Drosophila melanogaster: one gene and its partners. The protein of the gene in region 4 interacts with the protein of the main gene of each other region in a pairwise test. Each region holds a gene or a part of one and is shown on either strand. Other genes may lie near its edges. The genes, in order: CG32450, CG43386, Acp53Ea and CG3740.

Region 1 (4,789 bases), on a different chromosome or scaffold from region 4:
CTATAAGTTCACCTTGGGCTGATCAGAGGAAACTCGAATCTTTCGGCCCGTTCTGAATTACAGCACATCGGTTGATGTTCAGTCGAATGTGAATGCGAATGAGATATTCTATGCCGGTTTCCCTTGCCAGCTAGATCCTATTCCCAGTTTAATTGGAGAAAAGAGCTTGTGTGTCGGCCAAACATGTTGAGGGGCTTAATGTAAATAATTAAAATAGTTTTGCTGTTCTTTTTGAACGAACCATAATTGAATAGCTTAAAATTTTGGTGTGTTTGGCAGTTTTGGCTTGGTTTGGTTTGCTTTCGTTCGGTTTGGTTGGCCCAACATAGATTTGAAGTTTTTTGTTTCGCTCTGGCTGTCGTTCAACTGCAATGCATTAGCCAATTCCGTTCTTGTATAATTTATTTGAAATTTATTTGTTGGCTGATTAGTTTGTAATTAGCCGTCGGTAGGGCAGCTGATTCGCTTTTGTGGCCATCGTGCCATCGAGTGTGCTGCAGGATCATTTAAAGCCCATTTCGACTGCCCTAATCTTGCCCATCTCCCCTTGGATGGGCGGCCTGTAGCTAAGTGCATGCAATTTGTTTATCGGCATTAAAGCTCTGCCAAAAACTTTGCAGCCTCTGCAGTTTGCGCCTGACATTAATGCCTGCGAAAACAACACCCCACCCACTTGCGCACACATTTATTAGCCAATAAACTTTTGACCTCATTTTACCGAGAAAAAAGGTAACACACACATAAACTAAATGCAGCCGAGCGGGTGTGAAATAGTGGCTGGGTGGCTCGGAAGGGAACCAACAAAATATTTGTGCTGCCAACCTGGGAGAGGCACAGGTTTCGAATAAATAAAATAGGACAAAAAAGTAAAAGGAAACTCGGATCATAGAAACCGAGAGGAGCAAGCAAAAATATTTGCACTGGCATTCCCATATTATTTCTGCTCTTGTTACTCCTGCTCCTGTTGCTGTGTTTGTTCTTGTTGCTGCTGCTGCTGTTGTTGTTGTTGTTGTTGCTGTTGTTGTTGTTGTTGTTGTTGTTGTTGTTGTTGGTATTATTGTTGCTGGGGGTCCAGAGCAAGGATTATAAATTATAACAGCCTCACACGGTTATTTATGTCATGTCAATGGGAAGGGGTGTCACACGGAAGGGGATATATCATCAATGCATGCGCTTAGTTGAGTGGAAATAGCTGCGAAATAAAACTATGCATTCGGGACTGGCTTTAAAGTGGAGCAGGCCGAGATGAAAGGGACTTAAATCGCAGCCAGCCCCAGGATCCCATCGCACCGCACCACAGCGCAGCGCGCTAAGCCAGAGATCTGCTTTGAAGCTTTTGATTTATTTGCTTGATGGCAAATCATTAATTTGCTTTGAGCCAGAGCAAAAAGAAAGCACGAAGCTTAGCATGCTTTTCAGCTGCTGTCAGATTTTCGGGCGACAAACAACCACCGCACGAGCAAAAAGGCAGCCGAAAGAAGCAAATTTAAATAAAACGCAAACCAACAAAATAATCCGACACATGCGCTGCCAAATGATTACCCAGGACTTGGCCCCAAAACCCCCACCTAATCCTATGTGCAATGTCTTTCCCTTCGCTCTGCGGGGTTCAGTGTGTTTTTGCAACATAAAAAACCAAACAATCACTTCATTTTATTGCGCCAAACGAGAAAGCCCAAAGCTGACACTTTTCCAGTCGCAAAAAAGGTCTCAATCATTAAACGGAATTGAAGGATCATATCGATTTTGTTGCTTAGAAGGGTACAAAGCCTGGTTGGATTCGAGAAGGTACTTTCCTCGATTCTCGATTTTAAGATCCCCAGTCATATCCGAGTGGGGATCCAACTGAGTGTTGATTTAATTAATCATCGGATCTATCGGTTTTGCGCAGCCAGTGGGCATTGCTGCTTTCACATCTCTTTGCTTTTGGTTCGGATGGATCAGTGGTTAATAGGAGGGGGTCAGAAATGTCCTTTCGCTTCCAGATTCCCTGCTTGTATTCCGGACCGTACTTGTCTTTCATACGCTGTTCAAGCTCGTACAATTTTAATGGTGTCCGTTTAGCCACTGTATGCTGCTCGAGGTCAGACTTGGTCAGAGGTCAGGGGCTATAGGTCCACGCACAAAACTTACCATACTCCGCACATATTTGTACACCCCATAGCCGATGCAGGCCAGAATTAAGGGAACTACCACAAACAGCCCCACGTTTAAACTATTCAGCTCGGGATCGCTGACCACGTGGGTGACATCGACGGTTTCCAGGGCAAAGGGTGGGTAAAAGAAGCGAATGATCTTATAAGTGGCATTGGCCAAAGTATGTTTTGGAAAAGGCTTCACGATGTCCACAAACCTCAACGACCAGTGCGAGTCCGGCGGCGGTACCGTTATATCCATATTTTTAAAAAAATGTATATAGAGAATGTTAAACCAAAAAAAACAGCAACGTCGAATTTTAGATTGTTCTAAAGCGACTTCTACTTGGTACTGGACAAGCAGCACTCTAAAAATGACTGATCCATCAAGGGCAACTCAATTAGGCCCGGTATTCGTGAAAACCCTTTAGCCAGACATAAATCATCGCCTACTTGGGAGCCCCGGAATGGCGTCATTGATTTATTAGCAGGACATACGCTCGAATCGATGCTGCTGGTGAAAAACTAGCGACAGAAGTGGCGGTGGAAAATGAAGCTAAAGTGGGAGCTGAGCAAAACCAGCCAAACCATCATCAGTCACCAGGCAAACAAACACGACGAGGACCCAAAGCGCAACGGCGTCATATACAAAAAGTGCTTGCATACATTACCCCGGAACCCATGAGCCGGAATAGATGTGGGGCGAAGGACCAGGGTCGCAGGACACGGTGTGCGCGGCAGAGGAAAGGACGCGTGCTTACTGCCAGAAACACGTACAAGAAATCATGAAATGTTGCCGCCATCATACCGAAAATTGTACGGGTAACGTGCAAGCAATCAAAGTACATGGAGGCAGGACTAGGCAGGACTCGACTCGAATCGACTGCGGCAACTAGAGCGCCTCGACATTGCCAAGGCCTGTGTGCTCCTCGAGCAGCGCCCACACGTCTGATTTTTACTACACACGTGTGCTGATGTGACGTCGACAGGATTGTGACTGCCTACTGACAACACTAGTGGGCCTTCTCCTTCTTTTGGCCTTCTGGGTCCTAGACTCCAACTGAGCATCTGGTTCAGACCAAGACCGAAACCGAAACCAGTCTGGCCGAAATGTAAAGTATAGTTGACGCAGACGTGCCAAGCTCGACGTGGCTGTCGTAGATGCTGCTTTTTGCTGTTTAAGTAAGCATGCAAATGTCACATGTAGACGGTAGTCGGTACTCGGTAGTTGGCGGTATCGGCAGGAGGGGATCAAGGGGAAGTGGGCGTGATAAGCACTCTCAGTTATGAAGGTGGGCATTGCTTGGTTTTCGGGCTCGCCGTTTCTTGCCCCTGCCACACATAAATGATGAGGTACACGTTGCCTCAGGCTGAATTTAGTGATTTCCCCGAGCATGTGGCATACTTTTTATGCGGCTCCTCCACGTGAGCATAAGGAGCTTCGGTTTATGGTTATTGATTCAGCCGAGCGGAGGTGGAGATAGTTTGAGTTATGGCCTCGGTCTGATTTGTGTCAGCAGGAAGTTTAAAAGAAATTGTTGCGCACTTTCGGGAGGCCAAAAGTGGATTACTCAGAGGGTTGCAGGCAGGTCCCCTGATTGAATTGGCTTAGCTGGGGGCGTACGGAACGAGATTGGATTGGATGGGGATGGGGACTTGCAATCAAAAGCCTAGTTTGTTGCTGCCTTCGCCAACCTCATCGTATTGGCAAAAGGTGGCAACCCTCGATCCACTCATTGTTCGATCAAAAATTCATGGCATACCCGTACGTTGGAGAGGTGCCAATAACTCGGCTGCTCCACTGACAATCGCCACTGTCTGTCTGCCCGTACGCAATTTACAATTACCGCACGCACACACAATTTATTTTGCAGCGCTAACAAATAAGCTAAACATTTTCGTGGCCAAGGGCCGTCCCGCTCCCAGGTGTATAGCAAATCAAAAAATCAGACAGGGCTGGGCACGAAGACACGCCAGGCAATCAGTTAAATGTTTGTTGAACTCACCAGCGTCGAGGTCCTTAAGTTCTCAAGAACGCACGACTCGCCGGTTTCGAGGAGTCCCAGGGGCTTCGCTTCTCCGCTCTCGATGCGCTCCTGCCCTTTTCCGAAAATTGAACTTGTTGGCGCCCAGAACGCAGAGCCCCGAAACCGCACCGAACAAAAAAGACGGAGAAGCAGCTCCGCAGAACGATGAAGCGGCAACTTGAAAAATCGCTTGTCGCACTGCAAGCGAAGTGACGGGGAACGCTCACGCGCAGTCGTAGTGATTTGGCTTTAAAAAAGCAAGGAACATTCCGGAGTTCCGGGGCAGGAAGCAGACAGCAAAAGACGCTATGAAAGCTGCCACGTAATGAAACTGACAATTTAACTCACAGTCAACCAGTTGTTTTGGATTTCAGTACGGGTTCGACGGGGAGCTGTGTGCGTGCTGAAAAATCGTGTTATCGATTTAATGCGTTACGATATATAAGTATATACAACCCTAGTGTGTGTGCAGATTGAAGGGTTGGGCTGGGTTGGTTTGGTTTCGATTCGGAAAAAGGGTTGCTTGCCTTTGGCTTTGGCTTTTATCGCTCGCCTGTGTCTTTGTGACTGGCTGACTGACTGACTGACGTTCTCGTGTTTGCTTGCCAGTCCTGTCCTTTGACCGTT
Region 2 (6,371 bases), 8.3 Mb from region 4:
AGCAGGTGCCACAAATGAAAAACGAACTGGAGGCCAAGATTGACAAGGCTCTGCAGCATTTATTGGAACAGGCTGGAGAGGATGGAGTGTTGGCCAAGGCCAAGCAAAAGGTGATCCACAAAAGGCAAATCAAGAATGGAACAAAGCAGAGGAAACAGGAGAATCGGAACAACCAGGAGGAGGCGGAGCAACGACAAATTCCGGAGGAAATGAGGATTATAAAGTCCATACTTTCTGAGGTAGTACTAGAGAAATTATTCACAATTCCTTAAAAATCACATACATTAATTCAAAAGTGGTTTTTGAATATAAAAATGATTAACCTTTTAAGTTTAAGCTAAAAATGCATGTCTTTAGTATGGAACGCTTGATTTTTTTTAACGCCAGGCTCATGACTTGCGCTTCCAGGAAGATTTCCTGGAAAATATGTTGGATCAGCCGCCGCCGAGGCGAATTAAAATAGAACCCAACTCTTCGGAACTCGATGATCTGGATATAAACGTAAAGGTGAGCAAAGGACCCATGTTTAACCCTTTGTGACTAACCCAATGACCGCTAATTGATGATGACCTAACCCAACATTGACTTGGTTCACCTAACCCTTTGTCCCACGGCCTTTTGAAGTCGCCAAATGTTACAGCCAAAGGTAAACCGAAAATGAAAGCAAAGCCGGAGAAACAGGTGGAGGCGGAGGGCACAGGCTCCTCGTCGGAATTGGCCACGGATGACAACGATGACCTGGGCGATGGGGATGAGCCCGGTGATGGCGGAGACGGAGCAGGTGGTGGAGGAGGCGGTGGCGGTCTGGTTGGCATCATTAGCAGCCTGAGCGGTGTAAGTGGAAGGCTAAGAAACCCATAAATATTTATTTAAAATGGATTTATTTAGGGTGAAGGTGGTTCCGATGTGGGTGCCTTAATTGGTGCCCTTACCGGTGTGATATCCACTTTATTTGGAGTAAGTATTGAAGTTTTCCAATCAATCAAGGGTATTTAAATAGAAAAACTATCTTTTAGCCTGGAGGCCTAGATGTGCAAGGTCTGATTCAAACGGGAACCTCGCTGATCTCTGGTCTTCTGGGCGGGAATAAGAACTTTGGCCTCGTGTTGGGACAATATGTGGGCACTGCTTTGGATGGTCTCTCTGGAGGTGGTGGAGCGGTGGGTTCCTCAAACCTATTTTCATGAATTTCCAGTCATTTTACTTGCATATATTATTTTTTCCAGATTAACAATGGCCAGTTTATAGGCAACTTCTTGGGCACTGTGCTGGCCGCATTGAGCGCTGTATTTATATATTTTGCTTATATATATATTTACCTTCTAGATCCCAACCTCATAACTGTGTTACTAACCCCTGAACGTCATTTATTTAGCGAGTGCAATAAACAACATTCTACAATCTTTAACAGGATCCCGAGGAGGAGGGCCCACCGCAACCATTGACCTTCACCAAGAACCTGATCACCAGCTTCCTGGAGGCAAAGTTTCGACCAATTTCAGAGGACGGCTCAGAGGAGCGACACGGAAGTGCGGAGTTGCCACGCCCGCGAAAGAAGAAGGAGGGCGGTGGATGGGCAGCTGCGGCGGCAAATAACTTTGATTCTGGAGGATTTGTGAAGCAAGTGGCCTCCCATCTGGTGAGCAATGCCCTTGGATTGATTTTGAATGCCGGTCTGGGAGCCGCTGGAGGAGCTTCGAGTGCAGCCAAGAATATTTTCGCCAGCAGCAGCATGGGTCATCATGCCAAGCCGGCAGATCACCATAGATCTTGGAACCCCTACCATAATGAGCCATTCTAGCCAGCTTAGTCATCACATAATCATAGTTACGTTAATCGTTTGTGTTAAACCCATTTTTTTTTTGCTAGTTCGTAACCGAAATAAATAAAGAAGTGAGGAGAAAGACTTGTTGGTCACTTGGGCAGCTAAGAAAGCGTAAAAGAGGGGCTCTAAATCAAGTGGCGTAACAGCTTGGACAGCGGCTGATGCAAGAGATCCGATGGAATTCAGTGGGAGCCACTGCAATGAACCACTCCCCCAAGGATGCGGTGGGGCAAATCACTGGATGGAAACGCAAAAAGCGAAAGCTCGCAATGAGCGGAAGTAAAAACTAAGTAAAGGTTGAGGGGTGAAATAGCTTGTTTGGGTTCATTTCCTCAAACTAAAGTTCAGTGGAAGGTAGAACAGGGGAATGAACTACGGATTTCGGCTCAGGAGTTTCGCTTCAAAAATTAGTTTTAAATACATTTGGCAATACCTTAATTAACTAATATTTAAATTAAAAAGATAGAATTAATATATATTTTGTAACCCAATAGCCTAATAGCGAATATTTTTGGATCTTCTTGACCCAAGAGTTTTCCCTGAACCTTTCTCCGTGGGCCAACTACTTGGTAGCTTGCCCAATGGAGCGGGCATTGTGTCACTTTCTACTGATTACAGGTTTCATTAAAATGCTTTTACTTGTTTACTTCTGGTGCTTTCTCTGACTCTCTCGCTCTCTCTCTTCCGCCTGCTCTCTCTCTCTCTCTCTCATTCTGTCTTTCTCTTTTTTTTTTTTGAAGTGGGCTGAATATTTTTTTAGCGGCGAGTTTCAGTTTTCAGTTATGCGTGAATCTTTCACAAGACAAAGTGACATTTTGCGGGCCGTTTAGTTGTCGCGTTTTTAATTTGAAAAACTTCAGGTTGTGTTTATTGTTTTGTGTTTTTCTTGTGCGCTCAGTGTTTGTGCTGGTTTATTTGCATTTTGAAATTGTTTATGAACTCAATTATATATTTGGGTGCTTCGGAGAGTTCGCATTGCAATTAAGTTTGGCAAGCCGCATTTTTATTTTATTATATTTCGGGTGAGTATGTATATAAGGCGGCTGAAAGCCGAAAAAAAGGGAAATAAGCGACAATCCCAGCTCAAAATGTATGTCAAAACGAAAGACTTAGGCAACGAACTTGCTAACTGGGCTAAGCCTCAACTGAAAATGCTGGCATAGGTCAGGTCTGTTCCAAAAACAAACAACACTACGGGGGGCTATTAATGGAGGGGGTTATTGAAGAGGGGGGGGGCGCTATTGGTTAGCGTTCGTCCATTAATCGCTTTGGCTACCGAAATTTGGCAACAGCGCCGACGTCAACAATGCAAAAGTGAAGATTCAAATGCGTTAATTGCTTCATAAATCAATTAACAAGAGCCTAACCAATCGTAAGCCGAAAAAAGGGAGAGTTTTATTGTTCTCCTATGACTTACGCTTTGTGTTCAGTGTCATATTTGATTGTTGATTATATTAAGCTATATGGATGGTGTCCAACATTTACTGGTTGACGTGCTACTTAAAATGCTATATAAATTACAAATTTTACATACATTTTAAAAAGGTTTTTTGTTTTTATAGGGAAGTGATTTGAGGGAACTTTCCTTTTTACTCTATTTCATTCGCATTTCATTTGAATTTTCGGGGTTAACTACCTGGTAACCTACTACTCATATTCGGCCTGACCCCTGGTCGCTGTCATGATTGAGGATGAACCAGAGTCAGAGCTAAAAAGACACTCAAAAATTAAAAAAAAAAACAAAAAAAATCACCAACTTGTCTGGGCCATGCAAGAGTGGCCTGGCCCAAAGAAACCGGTAACGGTCTCAAGGTCGTTCGTCGAATCGATGGCTCTGGCCAGATAAGCCTTAGCCCAAGATACAGCAGCCAGTTTAGCCATCAACGCGCTTTGGGCCAAAAGCTAAAAGCTATCAGCCATCAACTCTAAGGCATAAGCAATAACAAAACTCAGTGATGATAGCTGGGCCAAAATAAAAAATAAATAAATAAAATCGAAAACGAGGAAAAAAGCGAAAGTGAACGCCATGAAAGTGGAGCAGTCGAGCTGGAAATCCGCCGAAGGCAAACCGGCGGGGGGGGGGGGGTTGCGTCTCTTCATAAACAAAAAGATATATATGCAGGTGTCATATCTAAGTCGGTCAATAAGTTTATTGACCAGGCGACGCTCCAAATTGTGCGGTTGTTTCGGGAGAGTTATGCAAATCGATTGTGGCAACCCGATATCGAAAAGCGTAGAAACTTATGGCCGTTAAACAATGCACCCTTTTATATTTTTCGGGCCGATTAATATGCAAATCTCGAAATTTCTTATCCACCACTCGATATGTTGTGGCTTTATGTTTCAATTATGAGCGTTAAAGTCCGTATCGCAGATCTTGTATTATACGAATTTTCACACATTTTTTATGATGATATTTTTCCTGGGCAGTAAATTATAAGTTGATGCGGGTCTGGGCGAATGACTGTTTATGTTATTACCGGAGTGTTTTTGCCTATTATAAAATATGTTTAATACTCTTGAGTTTTATTTGCTTGGCAATTTCATAAGCCTTTGGCATTTTCGTTTAGCTTAGAAGTGATTTCCAATTTACGCCTCATTTAACAGCACTAAGTTCTGCACGGCAATTAAGCAAAGTGATCAGATTTGAAATGCCTTTCAAAATATCTAATGCCAAAATGATATTATTACGGGGCGACCTTCGCCGGCCGCCAGTGGCGAGATTTATTAATACTATAATTACAATAATGGCTGAACAAACAAATAAACGCTACATGACAGCAGAATCTGAATCTCCGGCAACCTTTGCGCAAAATCAAACGAATCATTTTTGCCTGGCCAAGAACAAAGTTCGTTTGTCCGATTCTAATACTAATTCTCAGACTGAGTTTTCAGTGAATGGTGGTCAGTTATTTAGTCTGTCGGCAACGCCTTTTCCAATTAAATTCGACCCGGCTATTGGGTACAAAGCAAAAGCACTCGATGCGAAAGATTGGCTTACAAACGGTCTTAATATAAACCGAATTAACTTTATTTTTCCATTAGAGTATTACACATGTGGTGCAAATCTTCGTGGGATTTGCTAAGTTAATTGCAACTTTTTAGAGATTGTCTACACACAACAACTAAAAGTCATTTGAACGTATCTCTTAAAACAAAAATATCAATTCTTTGGCAAGACGTTCTATTGCTTAGTGATTGGTTTTAAAGATATATGGTACCTCTTTTTTTTATATCTTGCCTATACCTGGCACATATTTATTTTGGCATATTTTAGATATTTATTAATAAGTAATCCCAGTCTTAAAAACATTTCCTTGGTCAAATGTCAAATGTACTGGCCGTAAAACACTTGCGCAAAGCCATCAGCAGTTCATTAGAGGCCCATTGCTGCGGCGGAGTTGAATACATTAGATGGAAATGGATGCGGAATCGAGTGCTGGCTTCTCCTCCATCTGGTTAACGAGCCGCACTCTCGGTCCAAATGAATTGGTTAATGGGTAATGGTTATGACCGTCTTCCCAACTTGCGGCGTGTAAACGGTTACTCGTTAAGCAAGGGGGTGCCCAATAGACCTGTTACCCGTTTCACTATATCTATTTTCCATTTTAATTTTATTATTAATTTTTTTTTCTCTGTTTTTCCTGCGTGCACTTAGCGGAGTCATTGTGGCCAGAACAGCGATGAGCAGGTGACATTAATGCCATGGCCCAAAACTGAGCAAAACCACACAAAAAAAAAAGAAAGAAAAAATAGCAGCCAGCGCATAATGCATAATGACAACCGTTGCATAACCCCCCCGCCAGTTGGGCAATGCCAAATTATGCCCCGACATGTTGGCGAAGGGTATTATGCTATATGCTATATGGCGTATGCTATATAGCCATTTCCAGAGAACAAGTTGCCACTGGTTAGTACGGATTTAATGCGTCTGCCCCACTATTTCGGCCCCTGACATTTTCGACGCGACAACTAAAGTTTAGAAACACAAAAAAAAAAAAAAAAAAACACAACACAAACTGACAATTGTAACCAAAAGGCGAAACTGGAAATGCAATGAAGATCTGGTTGTAGTGAATAAAGTCACTAGGGTTCAGGGGGCAAGGATTTGGGGCGCTTTTGGGGTCTTGGCCAGGCCAAAACGGCATGTTTTCTGCCAGATTGCTTTGAATAAAAACCAAGACACATAGCGCCTGTCTTTTTGCTAACATTTTTTTTTCTGGTTTTCTGTTGTCGGTTTTCTGTCATAAACATTATGACACGCGCTGCAACGCTGATGGACAGTTTGACAGATTGACTCACTGACAAACTGACGAAGTGGCGGGGCTGGCCAGCAATTATAGCGTTCTAATTGAGGCGCCTCAACGGCAACAAGCTGCAATTGAATTTTCATGGATAATTTGCTAATTGAGCTGCCAAATTAGGCAGAACAACTGGCCGGATCTTTTGACATGCAGATCTCTAGTGATTGTTATTTAATTGAAAACATGAAAGCCACACAAAAGCTTTAGGTAAATGAAGTATTTTAAATATAATTATACTTCTT
Region 3 (4,206 bases), on a different chromosome or scaffold from region 4:
CTTACTAATTTCCAGACCGTGGCCGCGACTTCTCCATTATTATCAAGCTTCTGTTGAATTAATCATATAAAATAAAATTTAATCACATAACTTGAATGTGTTTAGCCAACTTTAACTTCAACTTAACTTCCAAATGCAGTAGTTATATTGTAAAATTATACTTAATAAGAAATACATTTTTGTTGCTGACATTTGAGACCCCATATTGCTCTCGATTTATTTATGTAATGTGCACACTTTTCTTTTTAAATGATATAATCTTCTTCGTCCAAGCAACCTAATCCCGATATCTGCTCGGCAAATGGTTTGATTGTGGCAGCCAACTTGTTCAGTAGACCGTGCAGACATTTGGGTTCGTCAAAGACAAGTTTCTTGAAGAATTCATAGGATACCTTTAGGTACCAGGTAATCTTTCTGTCTTTGCCGTTTGCCGGTTCCAAAGTTACGTATCCGGAGCATTGTTTCAACTCATATACGGTCGGGACGATTTTATCGGCCAGGCTGGTCAGTGTTTCGATGGCCACCTGAGTACACTTGCCCAGCCTTCCCCAGCTTTCACTTATAGTGGCCTGGGCCTCCGTCTCCCGGGGAATGAGGCAGACCTATGGAGAATGGTAAGTATATTTAAAAAGTAATTAAGTGAGCCAAATGTACTCACAGCCAAAATACTGAGCAGAAATATGGACTTGATCACGCTCATTCTCCTGTTTTAAGTCGCGATTATGACCAGAAAAAACTTAGAATATTTATGAAAGGGCTGTCCTATTTATAGGATTACAAGCTAATTTTAATTTCATCCACCTAAGCAGTGCTAAAAAAATTGGTTACAGTTAAAAACCATAATAAATTTTGCGCCTAATACATGTCAATTCAATTTTCAAATGCAATACAACAGAATAATTTGTCTCGCATATAAAGTATTTCAGCCGATTGAATCCAAACCAAAATGTGTTTTTGGGTTTCGGTAATATCATAATATAAATAAAAAATTTGAGAAAAAAACCGCACTTAACTTATATCATGATTAATTTGGAAGGTCTATTAGGCATTACCCTCCTTTAAAAAATATACATTTTTGATTGCTGTGCTTTATTAATGCTCAGAAATTTATTTTATTATGGCCAAAATAGTGATTTATTCACCCAAGCATTTGTTGGTCTCAAGCGATTTTACATAAGGCCTCAGTAGTCTCACTGATTCCTTGAGTGGCACAATCAGACACTGAGTCTTGTCAAGCGCACCTCGCTTAACAAGCTCATAGTACAACTTAAGTTTTGAAAGGTAACTATTTCCAATATCGGTTGGTGGATTGAAGTCAATGCAGTTCAGTAAATTGCGAACAGTTGGGATTGTTTCTCTCAGCAGACTGGCAAGCGCTTTAGTACCAATTCTATTGCATGCCAACCAATTCTCCCATATTGGATTTTGCGCCTCCGTTTGGGCCACAAATACGAGCTGTTAAGTGAAGTTTATCTATTGTTATTGTGCCTAAAAAGATCATATTTAAATAATGTACTTACAGCCAGTAAGCTGAACACTAGTGTAACCTTTATCAGTTTCATTGGAAGCCTTATCTGTGTGCTTTCGACTAAACGGCTGAAGATCAAACTTTCGGAGCCCCTGTGTTTTATGCCCTATTTATAGGCCCCAGGATAATCGAATCAGCACGGTCTATTAGAAGCTTTAAAAACAGATTTTACACTTCAAAGTGTGTGAGCAGTTTATGGATTTTGTTGCTATTGTTAATCGTTTTCGCATGTTCATTAACATTTTATATAATAACATTATACAAAAGGTTACAAAAAGAAGGCATATAGTTGAAACTGAATTCAAATTGAATTCGTAATTAATTCCAGACCCGCAAAAAGAATTTTTAAGCTTGTGCTTTCTATTTCGCTGTCCTTTTAATAACAACTATAATTATCTAGATTTTATTGCCGAATATAATCATATAATCTCGCCAAATTCATTGTATTCCTGTGATTCAAGCAACTCATTTAAATACTGAAAATATGTCTATATCTAAGGCTAAATTAAGAATTTAAAAACCAAATAAAGTGTTTGCATATGTATATATTGCTTTAGCTGAGCCCTGGTAGGCACTTGCCACTAATAAGTTTGTCAAGGTGTGGCGACACAGCGTCGTAGCCTTCTTTCAATGAGATCAATAGACATCTTTGGTTGTTCACGACCGTTTGCAGATATTGATAGCCCAAGAGGGCAAGTGCGGTAATATCAAGGTCCTTAGTCTTAATGGCTCGAAAGTCAGCACATTTTGCCAATTTTTTTACACATGGTATCGCCCTCACGAGCAACGTTGTGGCTACTTTCAATCCCGATTCTGTGCACTCCGCCAGCTTATTAAGATCTACTCTTAAGGACTCCACTTCGTTTGGCAGCAAGGATCCCAGCAGCTTTACAATTTAAAAATCGTAGTCAGTAAAAAGTTTTGAGCAAATATTAAAACTCACAAGCAAGCTGAAGGCGATGTAAAAGACTTGTTTGGACTTCATGGCCGAAAGACTTCAGTGAACACAGAGGTTCCAGACGTAAACTAAACGCCACTTATAGTGTTTCTGAGTTGCAGAATGTAAATGGTTTAACTACGCTCATTTGCGACATAAAAATGCTGTAAAATATCAAATTAATGTTTCAGTCCGCTTCACAAATCATAGATATCGAGTCAATATAAGCCACATTTTCAGTAATCAGCTCTATCTTACCTTACCTTTCTTCGTATAGCCTAATCAATATAAAGCAACCCGATAGTTTACAGATTTTATTTAAAGCCGTTTTATTTTATATTTCTTTAATAGTGATACGCCCTGGCAAATATCAATTTGTTTTGGATTATACATACACATAGCATAGGTTTTCCCTCATTTTCCACGCGTTGGTTCTGCTCTTCTAATTTTCATCTGTCATTGGAAACGGTTGCCAGGCAATCATCTCTTACATACATTGATATATAGCCGATGTACATATTTAAATCGATTTTGAAATGTATTGTACCATATACGCATATATAAGTTGAGTTTCTTGCTCGTTAACTCGCTTCGCTAATATATAGCTCTATATTTTTGGTGTGTGCAATTCTTTTGTTGGTAAATTCAAACTGGGCCAAAATAGGTTATTACATACATAGATATCATATAATATGCTTGTAAAATGATTATTGTAATTACAATTCTCTAATATGTTACAATTGGAAATTAATTCAATAGTTTAACAAATGTTTACATTTTGCTACAATTAACTCAAAACCCAAAACGCCGACTCAGTTCCGAAACGATTTCTAAAAGAATACGTATTCCTCGATCCAGCAACGATCGCTTAACGTTCCGTGTCCATTTTTGCGACACAAACGAAAGCGATCCCTTCAACAACTTTGGGAGCTTCGAGGCTTGTGATCCGGGCACAAGTGAAGCTCCAATTGATCCATTAACCTGACCTAAGCTCGTGCATCAACCGATGGCGAAACGCAAATTAAATTCAAAGTTCTTTTCGCAAGCAAAGCAAAATGTCGGTTTCATTTTCAGTTGGGAAATATACAGGTGGCCATTGCGTACTAGTTTAAGACTCTTATCAAAACTACAATTGGTTTGTTCCGTAACGTGTTGCTTGAAGCTTTAGCAGGTGGTTCCGAGAGGGAGCATTTTAGAAGCGAAACTGTTTGGTATTTTTGTGGGGAGTCTGTGGGGGGAGAAGCCTTAAAAGCCGTCAACAGTTGACAATGTGGGGCAGCTGAGTTATAGCAGCGCCGATTTCATGGTTCGTAACTCTGGTGTGTAAAATAGTTTCATTCGCATATAGTTCTGTTTTGCTTGTATATATATATAGATCTAACAATAATCGTTACCTTTATAGAGATTTCGCAATTCTGCTGAGCTTATACCTCACGTCTCCTATATCCTATATACTGTACGGTCTTTCTTTAACACACACACACATATTTTTGGTATCATAATTTTCTCTGGCGTTTACCTGCTCTTTTTAAGTTAAACAATACAAGTACATGAAAATTTGTGTATAAACAGCAAATATATAGGGTTTTATACATTAATTCATTACATATAGTTCCTCATTTATATATATGTCTGTATTTTGCTTTAGTTTGCTCCATTAAAATGCATATACGTGTGTGTTTGTTTGCATTACAAGCTTTACATATTTGTCGCATACTTGAGAAAAAATACATAGTCTAAC
Region 4 (4,883 bases):
CAGGAGCTGCAGCGTGAAATGGCCGAGACTACGGAGCAAACCGATCGCGTCACCGCCGAGTTGCAGCAATTGCGCCAGCACAGCCTCACCGTTGAGTCTCAGGATACTTGCGAAATTTGCGAGATGATGCTGCTGGTTAAGCCCTTTTTCATCTTCATCTGCGGCCACAAGTTCCACAGCGATTGCCTGGAGAAGCACGTTGTGCCCTTGCTCACCAAGGAGCAATGTCGGCGCCTCGGCACTCTAAAGCAGCAACTGGAGGCGGAGGTGCAAACGCAGGCGCAACCGCAGTCAGGTGCCCTGAGCAAACAGCAGGCGATGGAGCTGCAGCGGAAGAGGGCGGCACTGAAAACCGAGATCGAGGATATTCTTGCTGCGGATTGCCTATTCTGCGGGCTGCTAATCAGCACCATCGACCAGCCGTTCGTTGACGACTGGGAGCAGGTGAATGTCGAGTGGGAGTAGTTCGCTACCACCGTCGTTCAGACCCAAATATTTATGTACATATAAAGTATTTATTATTATAAATAAACCTACACTGATCACAAAGGTTTCGACTGAGATAGCCGTCCAAATTCTACAGTTACCTGGCCATCGCCCACTTGCCCGCAGAGCAGGTCAGTCCACAATCTGCATGCGCAACTCGTTGGTCACGAATGACATGACAGTGTTAAGCACAGCCTGCTGAATGGAGGCGTTCTGGACAATCAGCGGCAGCAGCATCACCACGTCGGTGGGATGTATGTCGGCCACGGCCATGGTTACGTGCTGCACCAGCTGCTCTCGCTGTGCGTCCGTCAGGTCGTTTAGGATGACTTCGCCCAGCGGACGGAATGTGCCTGTTCGGGAGGAGGGAAGTGGAAATGTAGTGAGACTGAGTACGGGAGTTCTCCTCCGCTTACCGCTTGTCATCTTGTAGGCGGCGATTCCGCCGGCGGCCCCGCCAACCGCCAGCCCAACGGGGCCCAGGAGCATGCCACCCGCAAAGGAGCAGGCGGCGCAGATTGCCGCTCCCTTGCCGGACTGCTTGACGGCGACGCGGACGTTGCGCTCGTCCGCTACGATGGCTATCGCCTCCATCAACTCGCGCGTATCTATGGGCATATTTAGGCTACGTGGAGTTGGCCCGAATTTCGCAACGCTATGCTAGTATTTCCTGTTTAGACTTTGTTCCGTGCGGCAGTATGACGTTTCCGATTACGCCACCCGTTCCGTTTGTATCCTGCCTTTTAGTGTTGGTCTTGAATTCTCCAACTTGCTACTCGACAACATAAACAATTTCACGGAATCCGCTTGAAGGGAACTATTAAAAAGCTTATATTTGACTTAAAAAACAGCAACTTGATTAAACTTGTGAGCGCCAGATTCAGAGATGCGCAAACGGCGGTCACAATCGACGTTTATATCGATATATGGCCTTAACCCTTATGTGTTAACCCATTCCTGTTATGGGTCATACATTAAATTTCTTATATTAATCCTATAGGTTATTACTGTCCTGTTGCTAAGTTAAAGATGAACAATAAATTAAATATATATGTGTTTATTATATAAATTGATTCAACGGATTACGTTTGCCAACTATCGAATCGCAGTGCAAACGATGTCACTGTATCGATAAGTCGATTGCCCGCGGCGAACAGAGCATTTAACATCAGACTTAACAGCGAGTGCTCTGCTGCGCTGCGCGCACTTAACATTTGCATTTTGTTTTGTTCGTAGTTTATCAATTCGAGTCGAGATACTTTTGTGTTTCACCTACGTATCACACCCGACCGATTCTTCCCATGCACGGATCTGTGGCAGATCACCTGGCGGACCGAACGAGCCTGCAGAACCGCCCAGAAAGTAGCTCCTCTCCGCTGGGACTGGGATGTGCGCAAAGCATTTAAATTGTGAACACTTCCGTATGATTGCGATTCCTCGGATGTGGATGACCGCTCCGTTCCCGCGCCACCTAGTCGAGGAGTAAACCTGCCAGGGAGCACCTAGTGGAATTCATTTCGGAGGCGACATGCTCGCGTACACCCACGTAAGTCCAATGCGCATGCAGCTCTGCTAGTGTATGGGTGTACCTGTAGCAGGAGGGGTAGGGGTATGGACATGGGCATGCCGATACTGATATTGTGTTTATAATCTCGAAAGCACTCTAAATTGCTCCGAGGGAGGGGTGCTGCTAGTGAGGTTATACTACCCATGGCTCTATATTTTATACCACACCCAGTTATTATACTCATACAGCATAGGTATTTCTCATATTGTAGTTGTGAAAAGAAGCGCATTTGCCTTGAAATCAGAGGCCATCTTTAGTTAATCCTCGTATCCTCACACGCTATGGAACATTTAAGCCAAAAAGGAAATGTTTTCCATACCAAACCTATTATTGGCCTATGGTAATACCAAACTGTTATGCTGTTTTGACCAGCCAAAGATCTGGAAATAGCCCCCTTCCACTTCCACTCCATGCCGAAGCCGACAATTTGCCACCAACCGACACCGACCCGCCCACAATTGCTGCCTAACACAATTAATCTTTTTATTGCCCTTTTATCACATACGATTCGTTAATTAATTGCCGAATTAGCATGGCAGTGTTGTTGGCAGTTGGCCCGCAAGACGCTAAATCGAGTGGGCAAACAATTAGAAACCAGTTGGATACCGAAGACCCTCCCGACTCCCAGAGCCGCAGGCCCAGCAACTTATGCGTACAGGGTGTGCCTCACTTACCCTAATTACGGCAATTGGAGGACGAGCCAGGCCAAGCCCTCGTCGGTCTAATTCGATTTGCAAACAAACGCGTCTGGTGTAGCAAATATTTGCATATGTATGTCCAACGTGCGACACGGCGTTTTTCCCATTTCCCCACTCGATTCGCTTTAACGCGCCCTTTGATTGTCGTTGTCGTTGCAGGGCACATGGCTCCTGCTCCTGCTGCTCCTTGTAGCAGGCGCATGCGCGCGGCCAGAAATAGCACACACACCGGATCCGGCTGCACTAGGCGAGGAGTCTACTCCACATGCACACGCACATCCACAGGCTCGCCATCATCACCATGCCCATCCCCATGCGCCGCTGAAGGAAGATGAGCAGGGAACAGCAATACCTGCTCCCATCCTAACAACTGATAACGTGGGCATTGGGGAAACCACGACGGCATCAAGTTTGGCCGAGACGCAAAGCATGTCCGATCCGGGATCTGTGACAGACACAACATCCACAAGCACATCGCACTCCACCTCGACCACGTCGACCACTTCGCCCGCACCCCTTCCGCCGGCTGCTCCCGAACAGCCCGAGTATCTGAAGCACTGCTTCTATGCAGAAGAGCAGCTGTGTGGCCACACCTTTGACGGACGAGCCGAAACCTCCGAGGGCCAGGGCTCGACAGTCGCGCAGTCGGAAGCCCAGAACCGAGGAGGACAGGGGAACAGCCAGTGCCAGTGCAGGGAGCACCCGACGCGGCCAAACTCCTGGTACTGCTGCAACATATCGCAGCTGACGATGATCTCAAGCTGCAGCAACATATCCAAGTGGACCAACCTGCACGTGCGCAACATGACTGTGGAGGACATGGACCTCTCCAATCCAATATTCCGATCCCTGCAGTCGCTTGCCGTGACGGACGGCAATATCACTCGACTGGTGAACGCCTTTCCGCGGCTCTCGGCTCTTAAGTGCCTAAACATATCAAACAACAACATCTCGGAGATCCACTCGAGGGCGGTGAAGGACGTGCCCCATCTGGAGTTCTTCGGCATGTCGAACAACAATCTCTCGCTGGTGCCTCACCGAAACCAGAACAAGAACATTACGCTGGATATCAGGTGAGTAAGGCCATATGTTTAGAAAAGGAAGAGGCCTAACCAAACGATTCTTTTCAGTGGCAACATGCGCATGCTGTGCACTCCGCTAAACGAGATAATATACACCGAATCTATTAATTTCCTGAACCCGAAGCACTCCTACTGTCAGTATAACGCCACACACACCTGGTTTCAGTCCACGGACAAGGTGTCCGTGGAGCAGCTGGAGAACAGAAAGCGGTGTGTGACTAATTGTCCGGTTATTCCGAACTACGGCAGCTGCAATTGTACGCTGGAGAATATTATGATCATACAGGACAACCAGTCGAAGCCCCAGTGCCACGTAGACTGTTCCAATCTTGGCCTGGTGGAGCTACCCCAAAGACTGCCGGACAACACATTTATGCTCAATATCACAAACAACAAGATAACCAGCCTGGGCGATTACTTCCATACCAATCCCACCTACCACAATATTAACCGTCTCTTGGCCGATAACAACCAGATATCCTCCATCTATGAGTTCGAGGGTACCAAGTTCATCGAAACCTTTCAGCGCATCTACATGCGAAACAATTCGCTGAGCAAGGTGAGTGCTCTGACCTACTAATGTACCAATCCCTAAAACAAACTGTATCTTTCTACAACGATATAGATTCCGGAGTACTTTCTCAACAATGCCCTGATGGACTCTGGCCTGGGCCGTCGTATTTACCTGGCAGGCAACAAGCTGCAGTGCGACTGCAACTCGGCAAAGACGCTGCAAAATTGGCTTAAGGAGCGTAGCTCCGATATACCCGACTATATGGAGATACGCTGTCGCAACATGCCCCAGAGAGTCATCGAACTGCAGGAGGCCAAACTATGCCAGTCCCCACCAGACTGGACCGATTACATATACTATTTAATAGCCGCCGAGGTCCTGCTGCTGCTCGCCCTTATTACCAAGGTGTCCTACGACTATTGGGTCTTCAAGACGGCTGGCTATCTGCCCTGGCCGGCCAGTAAAATGCCCAAGTTGCCATGCGATTGGCTGTGCGAATCGTAGAGCCAGAGTGGAGAGTAAGATGGCCAGTTGGT

What was found.
Region 1: the proteins of CG3740 (region 4) and CG32450 interact in a two-hybrid assay, tested with the Drosophila melanogaster proteins (one large-scale study listed by BioGRID).
Region 2: the proteins of CG3740 (region 4) and CG43386 interact in a two-hybrid assay, tested with the Drosophila melanogaster proteins (one large-scale study listed by BioGRID).
Region 3: the proteins of CG3740 (region 4) and Acp53Ea interact in a two-hybrid assay, tested with the Drosophila melanogaster proteins (one large-scale study listed by BioGRID).

What each region holds. Positions count from the first base shown.
Region 1 is NT_037436.4:22,327,502-22,332,290, reverse strand, and holds CG32450 (uncharacterized protein), read right to left. Parts: upstream 2,514-4,789; 5' UTR 2,398-2,513; coding exon 2,134-2,397; intron 2,075-2,133; coding exon 1,862-2,074; 3' UTR 1,634-1,861; downstream 1-1,633.
Region 2 is NC_004354.4:9,973,635-9,980,005, reverse strand, and holds the start of CG43386 (uncharacterized protein), read left to right. Parts: upstream 1-2,600; 5' UTR 2,601-2,847; intron 2,848-6,371. Other genes in the region: CG15252 (uncharacterized protein), read left to right, coding at 1-239, 388-507, 625-834, 889-957, 1,017-1,160, 1,227-1,286, 1,412-1,801.
Region 3 is NT_033778.4:16,748,722-16,752,927, forward strand, and holds Acp53Ea (accessory gland protein 53Ea), read right to left. Parts: upstream 1,615-4,206; 5' UTR 1,563-1,614; coding exon 1,521-1,562; intron 1,456-1,520; coding exon 1,135-1,455; 3' UTR 1,082-1,134; downstream 1-1,081. Other genes in the region: Acp53C14b (accessory gland protein 53C14b), read right to left, coding at 246-602, 659-700; Acp53C14c (accessory gland protein 53C14c), read right to left, coding at 2,082-2,414, 2,472-2,513. UniProt on the Drosophila melanogaster protein: Responsible for physiological and behavioral changes in mated female flies.
Region 4 is NC_004354.4:1,667,906-1,672,788, forward strand, and holds CG3740 (uncharacterized protein), read right to left. Parts: upstream 1,393-4,883; 5' UTR 1,105-1,392; coding exon 903-1,104; intron 884-902; exon of another isoform or gene 840-883; coding exon 619-839; 3' UTR 501-618; downstream 1-500. Other genes in the region: dor (deep orange), read left to right, coding at 1-465; hfw (halfway), read left to right, coding at 2,015-2,032, 2,911-3,824, 3,882-4,392, 4,459-4,851.